Linked DNA regions of Drosophila melanogaster. The protein of the gene in region 1 interacts with the protein of each later gene in a pairwise test. Each region holds a gene or a part of one and is shown in the gene's direction. Other genes may lie near its edges.

What was found.
Region 2: the proteins of CG5111 (region 1) and crn interact in a two-hybrid assay, tested with the Drosophila melanogaster proteins (one large-scale study listed by BioGRID).
Region 3: the proteins of CG5111 (region 1) and Atf-2 interact in a two-hybrid assay, tested with the Drosophila melanogaster proteins (one large-scale study listed by BioGRID).
Region 4: the proteins of CG5111 (region 1) and Cpr72Ea interact in a two-hybrid assay, tested with the Drosophila melanogaster proteins (one large-scale study listed by BioGRID).

The regions. Positions count from the first base shown.
Region 1 is NT_033777.3:25,504,505-25,508,808, forward strand, and holds CG5111 (uncharacterized protein), read left to right. Parts: upstream 1-1,770; 5' UTR 1,771-1,859; coding exon 1,860-3,704; 3' UTR 3,705-3,775; downstream 3,776-4,304. Other genes in the region: CG5107 (uncharacterized protein), read left to right, coding at 713-775, 836-1,414.
Region 2 is NC_004354.4:2,247,077-2,251,611, reverse strand, and holds crn (crooked neck), read left to right. Parts: upstream 1-1,628; 5' UTR 1,629-1,748; coding exon 1,749-1,784; intron 1,785-1,842; coding exon 1,843-3,915; 3' UTR 3,916-4,018; downstream 4,019-4,535. Other genes in the region: CG3191 (uncharacterized protein), read left to right, coding at 258-417, 518-599, 663-965, 1,032-1,168, 1,225-1,306; Or2a (odorant receptor 2a), read right to left, coding at 4,118-4,168, 4,239-4,535. UniProt on the Drosophila melanogaster protein: May be involved in pre-mRNA splicing process. Involved in embryonic neurogenesis and cell rearrangement during Malpighian tubule morphogenesis.
Region 3 is NT_033778.4:24,868,206-24,872,059, forward strand, and holds Atf-2 (activating transcription factor-2), read left to right. Parts: upstream 1-1,902; 5' UTR 1,903-2,004; coding exon 2,005-3,040; intron 3,041-3,093; coding exon 3,094-3,203; 3' UTR 3,204-3,284; downstream 3,285-3,854. Other genes in the region: CG16896 (uncharacterized protein), read right to left, coding at 3,285-3,440, 3,504-3,854.
Region 4 is NT_037436.4:16,360,581-16,364,286, forward strand, and holds Cpr72Ea (cuticular protein 72Ea), read left to right. Parts: upstream 1-2,022; 5' UTR 2,023-2,069; coding exon 2,070-3,095; 3' UTR 3,096-3,170; downstream 3,171-3,706.

The DNA.
Region 1 (4,304 bases):
GTCGCGGGTAGCCGGAAACTTTCTTTTGTATGTTGGAAATGTCTTGGACCTGGTGGCAGTGTCTTATTTTCCACACACCCCTAGTGGGAGTTATTAACCCTTAACCACACGTTACCATTTATAACCCGAACAAAGTGAACCGAGCGCGTTAAGCTGACAATGGCAACAAATTTTTTTCCTTTTGCCGTCTATTGTGCCCGGAAAATCTGGTGGCAGCCACCATTCAATTGTGGTTCTTTTCCTCTTTGTCTGCGGTTTATGGCTTTTAATTCGTTCTGAGCCTCGATTCTTAAGGGTGCCCAAGTGAATTTCGCACTGACATCAACGGATATTGTGTGATAATTGCCACAAGAAAAATATTCGACATTTTTAGAGCGTACATTTCGTTTGCATTTAAATGGGAAAATTAATTAATCATTTCAGATTTGTATTCATTTAAAACACTTCAATTGAGCAATATGAAAATTAACCGATCGAAAATGTATATTTTAAGTATCTTAAGTGGCTGATAAGTGCTGATAGATAGATACATATAAGTACTTTTGAGGTAGGTAGATTGATTACACATTTCTAGATGATAGCCGTATAAAAAAAAGGTATTAGATAGTTGGAGTGGGCAATTCGATTAATTTCTGATAAGACGTAGTTTTCAGCGGGTATATAAACTGATCTTCACTACTGGCCGAGAAAATATTATTAATTGGACAGTAAAATGAAAGCCATCACCGTTTGCCTTTTGGTTCTGGTTTCGGCCACCTGTCTGCTGACCACGCGGGTAAGATTTGCCAATTAAAAAAAAATTAACTTAAATATAATAAATATTTCTTTGTTTCAGGCCAATGCAATAGAATTGCTGGAGAACGAGAACTTCGACTATGATTTCGACTTTGAATCGGAATTGGAGCAGTTGCTGGATGAACTGGACAATGACACTGACTACATGGATGTGGAGGCACAGGGCTTTATTAGAACATGCCTTAAAATCCTTCGCAAGGCATTGAAAACGGTTCGAGGCACCAACTGTATTATCAAGGAGGTGACAAACATCCTTAGTTCATGCACCAGCTATGTGGATGCTATTGATGCCTGTGGCACTGCCATTCCCAAGGATGTGGCCAAGATTGTGGACTCCGTTAAGGAGATTATCAAAATCTGCGACGATATTTTGCATCTGCATTCGAAACTTTGTGCCACGGATAAGTCCGTGGGCTCGTCCATCAAAAACTCGGCCAAATGCTTCTGGAAATTGTTCAAGGCATCCATGAGGCTGACCCGAAAGATCAATAAAACCCTAAAACTGATTGCCAAATTGCCAGCCGATACCAGTTCCTGCTTCGTAAATGCCACCAATAAAGTTACAGCGTCCTTTAACTCTTTTCTGCCCAACATTGATGTCTGCATCGAGTCTATGTAAATATATTATTATTAAAAAATAAAAAACTCTTAAGCTTACAGCAGATTAGATTTCAATTCTCGAGCCTTTGTTCCCAACAACCTATGAACAATAATATAGTGATTTGATTGAAAATAAATTTTGTTTCATTATGATAAGATAACTTCAATTTCCAACTATGAGCCGAACTGAAGCGATTCGATTAAGATTCGTTAATAAATACAATCGGTATCTAGAGAGGGTTCTTGAACAGCTTTATACTGATATGGAAAATTAATTGTAATTAATTATAAATTGCAATTAAAGGGATTTAACTTACGTCTCTGAATTTATAATAATTTAGCATTTTTTAGCATTTAGCAAAAACAGATGTTAAGGTAACACTGAAAGAGCACTGTCAGAGTTGAAAATGTTCGTCATAAATTTAGAAATTATTTAGTTCGATTCGGGCACGACAGCACGAAACATGTCCCAGATAAACAATATATTCATTAAGCTGCGAGCTCGTCTGCGGGAGCGTGATATCAAGTTGTGGGAGGAGCCGTACTACTTCGAGGAGGTGGGCAGCATCGAGTCGGAGATGGACCGCCTGGCCAGGGACATCAGTGGCGAACTGGGCATCAGTGTGTCGGACTGCAGAATTGCCTTGGGCGAATTGCAAGATGGTGCCTTGCGGAAGCTGGCGGCTCGCCGAGAGTTCAATGACACCGGATTGGCCACGTTCAATGTGCGGTGTGTGGACAGCAAGGGTGGCACCGTGCAAATGCTGGAGATCAAGTGTTCGCTGGGTGGACTGGGCTCGGATCTGCAAGCTGAGGTGGCCAAGAAGTTGGATATCGTTGATTCCAGTCATGTGAAATGCATCTCCGGAGGACGCATCATCAATGGGCAGAAGACACTGGCCTCGCAGGGGCTCAAAACCAATCAGCACCTCATGGTGGTTGTGGGTGGAACTAATGAAGGTCAGGAGTTGCACGAACGTATCCAAAGGATTCGTGCGGACTTGGAGTTAGTTGCGGATGCAGATCGCTTTATGGAAATGGAGGATCAGGATGGACGTCCAATTTTCTTGCCACGCGAGGAAAATCGATCCCTATTGATGGCCATGAGCATGTACGAAGTGGCCAGAGTTGCCATGCATAAGGAGAACTTCGATGAGGCTCTACTCATCCTACTCGAGGCCGATGAACTCTTCTCCCAATGTGACTCAAAGCTCCTGGAAGGAGTGGATAACTATGCCTTAATCAATCTAGATATTGTTTGGTGCTATCTGCGCCTGAAGAACATCACCCAACTGCCAGATGCACAGCGACGTTTGGATATTTGCGAGAGGGGCTTTGTCAAGAGCTATGGCGAGCAGTTCATTCGATTGTTCTCGATTAAGGGTCCAAGTAGCCCGGAAAGAGCTTTGATCATGAGACTGCACCTGCTCCAAGGTGTGCTCCTCTTTCACCAAAATCGCCGGGATGAGGCCTACGAAAAACTGGAGGTGGCGACAAAGGACTTGTATGAGGTCAAGATGAATGACACTGAGCTAAGCACTCTCGTTGAAATGGGCTATGAGGAATCGGATGCCAGGTTGGCCTTGAGATCCTGTGCGGGCCAAGTGGATAGGGCCATTCAATATATCCAGGAACGCAGCGAGAGAATCAGTGAGGAGCGAAAGAACTCGGCTGCCGAGAGGCAAGTCAACCAAGAGATGATTTTCGCCGGTCAAGGAGGAGAATGGGTCAATCCACGCAGCATTATTAGGCTCATGGAAATGGGCTACGAAAGGCGTTTGGTTGTGGAGGCTCTGAAGAGGACCAAAAATAATCTCGATCGCAGTTTGGATCTACTGCAGCGTCATTCAGATGAACTTAGGGCCAATCTGCCGCCCATTCCTCCTGTCGATGAATCGTTACTTACTACTCTACAGCACCTTGGATTTTCGGAGATTTCCGCTCGAGATGCTTTGGAAACTACGGGCAACAGTTTCCATAAATCTCTGAAATTTCTATTGAAAAGTTTCCCCAACGAATCGGAATTACTTCATGTTATTGAAACCATGACAAAAGTTTTGGAGGTTCAAGAACCTACGAGCTCAACTAATGCGACTGCAAATAGCACCACCCCACTCGTAAACTTATCCAACAGCAAGGTGAACTTGCTCCAGACTGTCCTTAGCGAGGCCAAGTCGGAGATTGAGTCTTACAATGCCTTCAAGAGATTCAACGAGAACCTCGCCGAGAACAACAACCACTACTTAAACTTGCCCTTGGATCAGGAGGAGCAAATTCTGATCGAGTATAAACGTTTGCTCGAGGGCTAATAAGAAAAAAATAAGATTTTTTTTAAATATTTGTAAATCAAAAAACAGGCAATAAATAAGTACGTACAAATATTTATTGTTGCTTTGTTATATTTTTAACATCTTTTCTCACCATGTTACCATTTCATTTCACAGCCATTCCACTATAGTCTGAATGGTACCTTTTTGTGGCCAAAATTAATAACATAACAGCTAGTCAATTAAATAAAAAAAAAATAAAAAAAATCCAGCTTATAGTGCGTCCCTTCAAAAACTCAAATACTTATTGCCCAGCAAAGTATGCTATGCATTTTGGTTGCTGATGTGGCTGCTGCTATTTGCTCACTCATGTGCATAACGTCACAGTTTTTCACAATTTTGTGTATGTGTGTGTGTGCGCGTGCTCTTTGCGTGTGGCTGACTTTGTGAAAATTAATAAGTTTTCAGACCCTCTCGCCAATCTGCCAATGCCATGCGAAAGTTCTGCAGATGATGGCCAAATAATTTGTCGTCCTGTTTTGTGGCGTTATTTCCAAATCGTTAAACCTAAAATAAACTCCGCTCAGCTTATTTCACTCTTCCATTTCTTTCTTCATTTCGTGTTTTTTTTTTTTCGGTTTA
Region 2 (4,535 bases), on another chromosome or scaffold:
CATTCCACCTCCCACCACCCACCGTCCATTAATTAGGTCGTTAGTAGGCCGCTCCGCTCGCCGCCTTACGTCACTGTAGTCAATTGTATACAAACAGTGAATGTACAGGCAAGTCTCCCTAAATCGAACCGCACTTCCCAATTCAATATGTCCAACACGATGTTTGAATTAATTAATATTCCCGTAATGTGCAAAGTTCCATGGGCTTAACTCCTTAGCAAAAACTTCATTGTATCGTACCATATGTGTATTAACAGATCCGCTGCTGCTCCGGCGCTTCTACCAGTGCATGTTTGGAGACGTGGAGGAGACTCGGAAGCTCATCGAGGTGAACTACGCCCTGCGCAACCGGCACCCTCACCTGTTTATCAAGAGGGATCCTCTAGACGCGGACAGCAAGCGCACCTTTGACTACGCGTAAGTGTGTCCTTATTGGGAGAAAAGATTCCCTTTCCTTTGAGGCAGGGCCATGTTCCAAAAACATACATACCCGTATACCCCAACACTCGAATTTCAGAGACATTCTACCGCTGCCTGGCCTAACGCCGGACAAATGCAAGGTGTCGCTGTACTGCTTTCGGGAGTTCGAGGCCTCCAAGGTGAGTAATAGCTTCTCTTTGCTGTAGGAACTTGCGCTCCATACCGCCGATTGCTATCCCCAGATGCACCACACGGAGGACACGCGCGCCTTCTTTATGGTCAGCGACTGCCGGTTCGTGACGCCGGACGATCTCGCCAAACCGGATGTCCTGTCCGAAGGAGAGGTGCAGATATTCGACATGAAGGGCACCACAATGCGGCACATTTCGCGGCTGACGATCAGCACGCTGCGCGCCTACATCAAGTTCCTCCAGCTGGCATTTCCGGTGCGCCTGCGCGCCATTCACATGATTAACTGTCCAACTTACCTGGATCGGATCGTCAGCGTGGTGAAGCCGTTCATCAGCGACGAGGTCTTCAAGCTGGTGGGTTTCTTGAGAAGCCATTATGTCTCTAATAGCTTCATCTCACCATTACTTTCTACACTTTAGATCCGTTTCCACACGCAAAGCATAAATACGCTGTACGAGTTCGTGCCGCGGGAGATGCTGCCGGAGGAGTACGGCGGAGGAGCCGGGTCCTTAGAAGCACTGCGGACCCATACCCAAAAGGCCTTGGTTGAGCATCGGTGGGTTTCGATCTGCATGTTATAGTTATTCAGTAACGCCTCGTTGCCTTTTGTAGCGACTATCTGATGGACCCCGATCACTGGGTGGTGGTGAAGCCGGAGAAGCGGAACGAGAGTTCGTGGAGATTTTTCAAATGATTACCTAGAACATCTTCCACGGTAGCAAGGAGTCTCCTTCAACTGAAGACGGTTAAAAGTGTTTCAAGTGTATTGGGATAAACAGTTCCTGTGGCTTTTCATCTCTTAAATATCCATTTTTTTTTTAAATTTGTGTTGAAATTGCTCAAAAATAAATAAGTAAAAAATGCGTTATCCGTTTTATTTTTAACCCAACAATGTACAATTATTATACTAGTATATATTTATGGAAATACAACAAAAAAAGGGATTTAATTGAAACACACATTCAAAAGTAGAATGCGCAAAAGGCCAGTGGAGACAAAAAGCGATTATCGATAGCGAACTATCGAAATATGCCTATCGTTATCGCACGACGTTGTTAGTGGCATTATTTATTTTGTTGCGATTTAGCGTTTTTCCAACATAACATTGCTAAGTGAGGGACCCCGAATCGCACAGCATGGAGCGGCCACAGAAGATGCCCAAGGTGGCCAAGGTATGTGCCATCGTCGGCAATCCACCAAACCAACTTATCCAATCCAAAATTTCACCAGGTCAAAAACAAAGCGCCGGCGGAGGTGCAAATTACGGCGGAGCAGTTGCTCCGTGAGGCCAAGGAGCGAGATCTGGAGATTCTGCCGCCGCCGCCAAAGCAGAAGATCTCCGATCCCGCCGAGTTGGCAGACTATCAGCAGCGGAAGCGAAAGACCTTCGAGGACAATCTCCGCAAGAACCGCATGGTAGTCAGCCATTGGATCAAATATGCTCAGTGGGAGGAGCAGCAGCAGGAGATCCAGCGGGCGCGCTCTATCTGGGAGCGGGCGTTGGACAATGAGCACCGGAACGTGACCCTCTGGCTGAAATACGCCGAGATGGAGATGAAGAACAAGCAGGTGAATCATGCTCGCAATCTGTGGGATCGGGCAGTGACCATCATGCCGCGAGTCAACCAGTTCTGGTACAAGTACACCTACATGGAGGAGATGCTGGAGAATGTGGCAGGGGCGCGACAGGTGTTCGAGCGCTGGATGGAGTGGCAACCGGAGGAGCAGGCCTGGCAGACCTACGTCAACTTCGAGCTGCGCTACAAGGAGATCGACCGGGCACGGGAGATCTACGAGCGATTTGTCTATGTGCACCCGGACGTGAAGAACTGGATAAAGTTCGCCCGCTTTGAGGAGTCTCATGGGTTTATCCACGGCTCTCGGCGGGTATTTGAGCGCGCTGTGGAGTTCTTTGGTGACGACTACATCGAGGAGCGCCTGTTCATCGCCTTTGCACGTTTCGAGGAGGGTCAAAAGGAGCACGACAGGGCGCGCATCATCTACAAGTACGCTTTAGATCACCTACCTAAAGATCGCACACAGGAGCTGTTCAAGGCCTATACGAAACACGAGAAAAAGTACGGCGACAGAGCGGGTATTGAGGATGTGATTGTTTCCAAGCGCAAGTACCAGTACGAGCAGGAGGTGGCCGCCAATCCCACCAACTACGATGCCTGGTTCGACTATTTGCGCTTGATTGAGGCTGAGGGCGATCGGGATCAGATCCGTGAGACGTACGAACGGGCCATTTCCAACGTGCCGCCTGCCAATGAAAAGAACTTCTGGCGACGCTACATTTACCTTTGGATCAATTATGCTTTGTACGAGGAGCTTGAAGCGGAGGACGCGGAACGCACGCGGCAGATCTACAAGACCTGTCTGGAGCTAATACCTCACAAGCAGTTCACCTTCAGCAAGCTTTGGCTGCTGTACGCCCAATTCGAGATCCGCTGCAAGGAGCTGCAGCGAGCACGCAAAGCTCTGGGCTTGGCCATCGGCATGTGTCCCAGAGATAAGCTCTTCAGAGGCTATATTGATCTGGAGATTCAGTTGCGTGAGTTCGAGCGCTGCCGCATGCTGTACGAGAAGTTCCTGGAGTTTGGACCGGAGAATTGTGTCACTTGGATGAAGTTTGCCGAGCTGGAGAATCTGTTGGGCGACACGGACCGGGCGAGAGCCATTTTCGAGCTGGCGGTGCAGCAGCCGCGCCTGGACATGCCAGAGCTGCTGTGGAAGGCGTACATCGACTTCGAGGTAGCCCTAGGCGAAACAGAGCTAGCCAGACAGCTTTACGAGCGACTCCTTGAGCGGACGCAGCATGTGAAAGTGTGGATGTCGTTTGCCAAGTTCGAGATGGGCCTCAGCCACGGCGACAGCGGGCCAGATGCGGAGCTGAACGTGCAGCTGGCAAGGAGAATCTATGAGCGAGCCAACGAGATGTTGCGTCAGCTGGGAGACAAGGAGTCGCGTGTTCTGTTGCTAGAGGCATGGCGCGACTTTGAACGCGACGCCTCCGATTCGCAGGAGATGCAAAAGGTAATGGACAAGATGCCGCGGCGCATCAAGAAGCGGCAAAAGATCGTCTCGGACAATGGCGTCGAGGAAGGTTGGGAGGAGGTATTCGACTACATCTTTCCCGAGGACGAAATGGCTCGACCCAATCTCAAGTTGCTGGCTGCAGCTAAGATGTGGAAGACACAAAAAGACAACACGGTGGACGACCCGCCCGCTACAGCTATTGCATCTGAGCCAGAACCTGCAGCTGATGCTGCCCCAGCGGATACGACGGATAGCGGTGACTGATTCACTTCCGCCTAAAAATCGTTGCTTTTGAACAAAGCTAAATATCTGAAATTGCAGATTTTTCGCTTTATTTTTGGATACCTTAGTAATAAACCACTTAAATAAAAAACTATAATGATCTTTTTTTTTGTTATATTATCTGATATATTTTTCTGCTATTGTGCTTTAAAATTTTTCTCCCCAAAAAGAGATTATAAAGTTCTTACTTGGCCCTCAGCAAGAGTGTGAAAACAGAGTATGTGAACCTCATGACCTGGAATCAAGTGAATCATATCATATTTGAATCAAATCAAAGGACATTTGAATATATAATTGTGCCTTGCCTGCTCGAAGGTCTCCAGCGAGAGTGCGATGTAGTTGCCTGCGTAGATAAGAGAAGGCCGCTGCGTCCTGGCCAGGGTGAAGAGCAGTTCGCGCTTGAACTTGGGCAGCTGTTCTATCCAGTTGCAATCGTAGAAGGCATCGCACAGCGCCTCGCTCTGTGTCCGCATCCTGTCCCCAAAATAGCAGATTACAAACACCTCCAAGGTGACGGCCGAGAAAAATACAATCGAGATGATCATGGCGGTGTGGTCGTGGTCATCCGCTACGTACAGGAAGTGCATGGCGACGGTACACTG
Region 3 (3,854 bases), on another chromosome or scaffold:
GAGGCAGCCAAACTTAATAAATTATATGCAAAACTGCCGCTGGGGAAATGGCAAACCAACAAAGTGTCCAAATGGCAGCGGGAAAGCCAACTTGCAGCAGGGGAAAACAAATGTTGGGCGTTCGAGGAACTCCGTTTTTGAATATTTATGAAAGGACAGTGTGATCCTCTGAGCTGGATACCAGCCGGATCCTGTAGGCCGCACATGCCGTTATGGCCAATTGCGGTCCTTGACTCCTTTGCAAATTTCCTAGGGCCAGAAACCTGATCATCAAGTTGGTAACCAACGCTAGGGTCATGCCAAACGTGTCTTTGCTAAAATGGAATGGTTAATCTGGTCAAGTCTTAAATACCAATGTATCACTATGAGGACTGCTATACCTTTATATTACATATTTTTCAAATAAAATTCAAGTTCTTATGGAACTTATTCAAACATTTGTTCTCAAGCTTTACTTTAGCCTGATCGCAAGCTATTCCAAGTTTGGAAAAAAATTTTGTGCACTCAGCCACTTGATCCTAACCACAGAGACCGACGGACAGTAAGAAAAATGGCGAGGTTGCAGTGCGATGATGGAAAGGATGTGGCGGTGGGGCAGGAAAAGGAGCTGATGGGTATGGATACTTTGAATGCGGGCAAGAGAGAGATGTTCATCGGAACGCATGTTCTTTGAAAATTGCCCATAATTATGCGAACGAACTTCAAACTGATTGTTTCTACCGGCAGCAGCGCAGTCCGAGAAACGAGAATCCAGAGCCGAGGATCGGAACCCATCTCCATCCCATAGCTCCATGGACCATGGACCACGCTGTCCGAAAAACGCGCGTCCGTTGCATGCAACGTGGCAGGGATGGGATGGAATGGGATGGGATGGGATCGAGATCGGGACATGGCCAAGGGTATGGCTGTGTGGAATAGCCCGCTTGGCTGCAGTGAAAGAGAATGACTGTAATTACGCATCACTTTTTCTTAATTTTCATGCTGTGCATCTTGCGGCCCTTCCTCCTCGCAAACGGAGCGGATTGGAGTGGTGGTGAACAACGAGGACGAGGGCCGGAAGGGGTCCTCCATCTTCTCGCTGGGAACAATTTAAGCACTGAACTTGACCCACAAGTCGAGTCTGCTGCTTTTTGTGCGGCAGAGTTTTAGAAAATTGCTCGTTTCGTTGCGTGCATATTTCCCAAAATGCGAGCGGCTTGAAATCATTTTGCGTGTTGTTTTGTCCGCTGTCTGTTTTCTGCTTGTTCCTCCAATGAGAAATCTAATTTAAAAGATACAAATTTTAAATTATGGGGTTTTCTTGGCTACCAAAAATGTTTCGATGTTTTTTCTTCGCTTTACCTTCCTCTTCTTCACATATGATTGCTTCTACGTGCCGAAGACTCGCATTTTGGCATTTTGGATGCGATGGCAGATACGCAATTTCGTTGCGGAAATGCCGAATGTCAAGAGTGGTTGCATAACAGCTTCAAACACAGAAAGGCTAGGAATAATAAGGGTCTCATGACAGAGGGGTATTTTTTACACACAGTATTTATTGGTAACCAGATTCAAATTGAAAACATTCGCGCGCCTTTTTTGCACCCACTCGCGGTATCGATATATCGGTTTGCACACATCACTACTGTGCTAAGGTAAACAACATATAAAATATACATTATATCGAGGTTTGAAAATTCCTTTACTTATTTTGTTACACAATGAAGATTATTCAGTATTTATTTGATTTATTTTAAGTTCTACGTTATGATCTTTGTTCTACCAGTAATAAAATACATTTTACATCGTAATTACGGCAGAAGAACTTAGTACCTTTTCCAGCACTGCAGCCAGAGTTGGTTTCTTAATGGAGTCCGATAGGTTCAATAACACATCCATACATCGATAACAATTTTATTTTTTGTTTTGCTAATGTGATTTACAAAATAGTTGTTTTAATTGAGAATTGTCGGCAGATTATGGAGTTTGATTTGTAAATAGCATGATTTTGATGTAACTTCTGACATGGACACCGCCGGAGACATGGATCACCTGGCCAGTGTGTCCTTCGGCGACTTTGAGACAAAATCCCCAGAGGGCGACGTATCCTGCTATCAGAACTTTCGGGCACAGACGGAACATGTTTCGCTAGACATTTCTCTCGGGCAGAAGTCAGACACTCTATTTGCCGCCGACCAAACGCCCACGCCTACGCGACTCATCAAGAACTGCGACGAGGTGGGTCTCTTCGAGGACCTGCAGCACGTAAATCCATTTGACATTGGATTCCAGCAAGCAGCGGAGCGAAATGTCAGCGGCACTCCGAGTCGCCCAGAGGCTCGACCCAATGACGGTGAGTCCCTGCACACGCCCCAGGTGTATCCCGTCGAGGCCCCCACCGTGGTATCAGTTCCGTCTGAAAATCAGGTCCCACAAAGTGTCAGCTGCGGCGATATGGATGTGGACCAGCTTCTGGCCACGACAGTTACCTCGCCTTCCAAAGCCAGTCAAGATGGTCCGCCGCCGCTGCAGTTGATCCAGCCCCAGGTCCTAACATGGGTGCTGCCTGCGCAGTCAGTTCCCATTTCCATCGCTACAGTTGATTGTAACAGAAACAGGGTGAAGCCGACTGGTGCCATTCATCCCTTCATACTGCCGAAACCCACTGCGAAAGAATTAAACAAGACCAGTAAAAGACCCGAGCCTATTTTGGTCAGTTGCAACCCACCTAATAACGAGCCCAGTAGCGCCAGTCTGACGCCCACCTCACAGCTGCCCATCAAGGAGCGATTGAAGGCCATTATCCACAGCAATAATAACAGACGAAGTTTCTCCACACCGCCCAAGGCTGCGAAAGCAAAGGATCGCAGTCGGGACGAGGATTGTATGGAGCGACGAAGAGCAGCAGCCTCTCGTTACCGTAACAAGATGCGAAACGAGCATAAGGACCTCATCAAACAGAACGCCCAGCTGCAGCAGGAGAATCAAGAACTGCACGAAAGAATTTCCAGATTAGAAAAGGAACTGCAGCAGCACAGGAGTCACAGCAGCTTAGCTGGCGGTAAGCTTTAATAAACCATTCCTGAAGTTAAGTTAATTTATTTTCGTTTATAGTGGTGGCCGACCAGCTGCGGATTCCACCATCCAGTATACACTTGCTCATCAATGTGCCCAACGTGTTAGTGCCTTCGTCCGCCAGCAACGCAAGCGCGGCCAAGAAATAACCAATATGCCTTGTTTATTTATTTTCTAGTGCCATGTACATAATCCTAGCCTTGTAGTTTATTCGTACAAAAAAGCCTCAGTTAAGTTAAATTCCTTCTGTACTCCAATGTTTTGTCTGTGGTTATGATTTCCGTAAACTCTCTCTGTATCTCAAAAATGGAATTCTCGATATCCACCAGCTGGGGACTAAATTGCACAGATGATGTTGCTGGAGTTCGCAGCTGTTCCATGGTCATCTGTTCGGAAGAAAGTAGACTTAGGAGATCACAGAATACAATCTAAAATCTTTTATCACATACATCACGCAAGTTTTTCTGCAGCTGATCACGCTGATAGCAAAGTTTCTGGATTTTGTCGTAATACTTCTGTGCCAGTGGAGCACCCTCCGTATCCGAGTAGTAGCGCTGGGCAAGGAGCTCCATCTCCTGGTTACGAATTTCATCTTCGGCCAGCTGCATTTCTTGGTTGTGACGCCGACGCTCACGCTCAATACTGTGCATCAGCAGGTCCATGTCCTTCTCCATCTCCAGAATTTTGCGTCGCTGCTCAGACTCCTGTAACTTAGTGATGACCTCGCTCTTGCGCCGACGCACCTCCATTTGGTAGGTGAGCAGCATTTTCCGTTGGCAGGTGATGCGCTCTTCCTCGCG
Region 4 (3,706 bases), on another chromosome or scaffold:
ATATACAATGTTTGATATGTAATTTAAATATTTCATTCTACAATATTCATTTAGTTTATTGACCAGATGACGTTTAGAATATTCTTTAATTAAAATTAGAAAGAGTTAAATTTCCTATATTTATGGAATGTTTTACAGCTGAAATACCTTTTAGACTGATTCGTTTGCTCTTTTTTTCTAGGACATAAAATCAAAGTACTCCCAGTCCTGAAAAATGAAAAACATGATTCTTGCCACCTGGCCTATCTTAAGTGCACCTTTAATTAGCCACGAAGGCAGTTCAAAGAACCAATGGTGGTACACAAATCAGGGCACAGTCCACTCGAGACAGAACAAAGGGAGTGAACCAAGTGGACCGGACTATATTGCCAATCCAACTTCAATTCCAGGCCAGAACTAACCAGCTCATTAAGCCAGGCTGGAATGGTTGTAGAGAATTGGGCTTTGATTGAAACTGAGTGCCAACGGGGCTAACATTAAAACGCACTTATCAGCCGAGCCGTCAAGGCCAATCCAATGTGGTTCTTGCAGTTGCTCCTCCTCCTCCTCCTAATCGGGAGCGAAGTTTAAGCACCAGAGATCTGAGGCATCCGATAAGCCCGCTGCTAAAAATAAAAATGACCAGCGAAGGAGGAACAGGAGATACCAATGCAGCTGCAGTGCATCAGAGGCGGATGGGAAACATATTCTTAGGGGGTTTTCTTAGTGTCCGGTTGAAATAAGTATATATCTTCAGTGTATACTATAAGGTGTCTAAAAATTCACATTATATTATTTATTTAGCGGACTTAACGATTTAATTAACCCTTTTCTGTGTCATATTTGTAAGCTCTTCGCATAAAACATATATTTCTTATGTACATACATATGTATCTAACCAAGTATTATAATTTTTAAGGGTACTTATGACCCCCCTAAGACCCCCATTTTGTTCGCCACTGGAGTGCATGACTCCCGTGTCCAAGCTGTGGCCAAATGTGGCCCTTGGCCTTCACTCACCTTGAGATGCCGTTGTTGTCGTCGTCGGTTGTTGCCACAGTTGTTGCATTTGCTGTTGCAGTTGAAGTTGCTGTTGTTGTCGTGGCCCCGTTGCAGTGTGCGAACAAAAAGGAGGCTGAGATGCCACAATGCTGTGGCAGCAACAACGATTGCATATCAATTACACGCTGGTCTGGATGCGGTCTTTGGCCTTGATGGTCCACCCAGCCAAGGCCCTTGGCTCGCTTGCAGATCCAGATGCAGATGCAGATGGAGATGCCAGGCAGCGATTGCTCCTCCCGCTGCGGAGAACCAGGGTCTGCCTCCCTCATTTGGGCCCACTCCAGCCTTGGCCACAATTAAACCAAATTGACAACGCCTTCACGAGGCGTCGATCCCCAAAAGGGGAGTGAAAGGCGGAGCTGCAATGTCCGTTAACGACACAAGTGGACACGACGACGCATTCGCATCTCCTCGTTTGCATTGAAGTGCATCTGATGGATACATTTGGAGAAAAAATTAATTGGCTGTTTACTATTTTAAAATGTGACAGATATTATTACTATTAGGTTATTCTTTAATGAAATACGTGTGCTTGTACAAATTTGATGAATTCTATTTAAGTACAATAAACCACCTTTTTTATCAATAATAAAATATTTTTTTAATGATTGTCATAATCATAAAATTAAAATTTCAGGAATTTAAGAACAGTCTTTTTTAGCAATATTATTATTTATATGCATTTAAATTTATGTTTTAAGCTTTGTACAAATCATTATTAAACAAATTACGAACTACTTATTTTTGGATTTAATTTAAGTCATAAAAATCACGTTACTATATTAGGGTAAAAGAGCATAAAACATTTGTATACTCTCTTAGATAATAATATGGCATACTTTTAGAATTTTTTCGCAGTGTATCAGAATAGAAGCATCTGACCGGCAGGAACCTCAGCCAGAACCAGAACCTAGAACTCGCGAAAGAACCTGCTGGGTATAAAAGGATGAAGACCTAGGCTCAGAATCAACAGTTACCAGTGAACTGACGAACAAGACTCACTCGAAGCAATCTTCCACTGCCCAACCATGAAGTATCCACTTCTGCTGTTAGGAAGCCTCAGCTTGGCCCACGGACTGGCCTTGTACTATCCCTATGCGTACACTGCCGAGGGATCCGCCGTGTTCACGCCCACCCAGCGCCAGTATATCGCCAAGGATGAGTTGGGTCAGTACTCCTATGGCTATTCGGAACCATTGTCCAGCAAACAGGAGACCCGCACCCTAGACGGAATCACCCAAGGATACTATAGTTACCGGGATGCGGCGGGAAAGCTGCAAACGGTTAACTATGTGGCCGACAACAAAGGTTTCCATGTGGCAGCCACTAATCTGCCAAAGGCTAAAGTTCCCCAGGAGTCGCTAGAATTTAGTCCCAGGAGCGCGTCGCATCCAGTAGACCACCATGTTGAGCATCACGCGGAGGTGTCGCATGCTGTAGTTCAGCATCCTGTTGGCCACCATCCCATTGAAGTTCCACATCATCACACTGTTGTTGAAAGCGGACGAAGTGCTCATCCAGATGGACATCATCCCGTCGAGCACCACGAGCACCGCGTTGCTGTAGCTCAGCATCCTGTTGGCCATCATCCCGTGGAAGTTCCACATCATCACACTGTTGTCGAAACCGGCCGAAGTGCTCATCCAGATGGACATCATCCCGTCGAGCACCATGAGCACCCCGTTGCTGTAGCTCAGCATCCTGTTGGCAACCATCCCGTTGAGGTTCCTCATCATCACACTGTCGTTGAGAGCGGTCGAAGTGCTCATCCAGAGGTGCCCCATTCTATCGAACACCACGAGCACCCGGTTTCTGGCTCAGACCCATCCGGATCCCATGGTGGCCACTCCCAATTGCCTCATCCCGTTTCTGATACCGCAGAAGTGGCTGCGGCCAAGTCGCTTCATCTTCAACGCGTCCACGATGAAGGCGTGCGCAACCAGGTGCTGGCCAAGATTCCAGTTGCTGTGGCTCGCAGCCACCATGTCGTGGTTCCTGCTCCGGTCTACGGCTACACCATTCCCAGGTACTACACCCCCGGATTTTACTATTGAATGGCAGCTGAATTCGCACGATTTGGTTCATTATTTAAGAATTTCGAATTTAAATTAAAAAATTGTCAATCAGTCTGCAACGTTTCTTTTGAAGTGGTAATGGGATAATATAAAGAAATTTTTAGCAAATTCATTTTGGTAACACAATATTTGTTCGAAATATATTCTTTCTAAGTATTCTTTCTAAAATTATTCTTCAATCAACAAATTTCTTTATAATTTCTAGTTTTAACATTTGTATCTTTATTTGAATATAATCATAACTAAACTCGCGACACCTAAAGTTCAAGATCCGGCTGAACTGAACCCTTTAGCTGCCCAACTCCTGGACTCACGGAACACGTTCACTCGGACCCTGTCCTACCTCAACCTTTTGGCCCCCCGACCCACCGATCACATTCCACATATGTGCAGCATAAACTCTTCATAAATGTGGGCCGAATTTTGATTTCAATTAAATTTAATAGCAGCATAAACAACGGCAAAGGCAACAACCTAAATAACTAAAACTGGAATTGGTAGCCGGCGTGTCCTATAGCCCCACCCGGTTCCTTGACCCCTATCCGGATGATTTGCAGCTCACACTGAGAGAAACAAATGACCAATAAGTA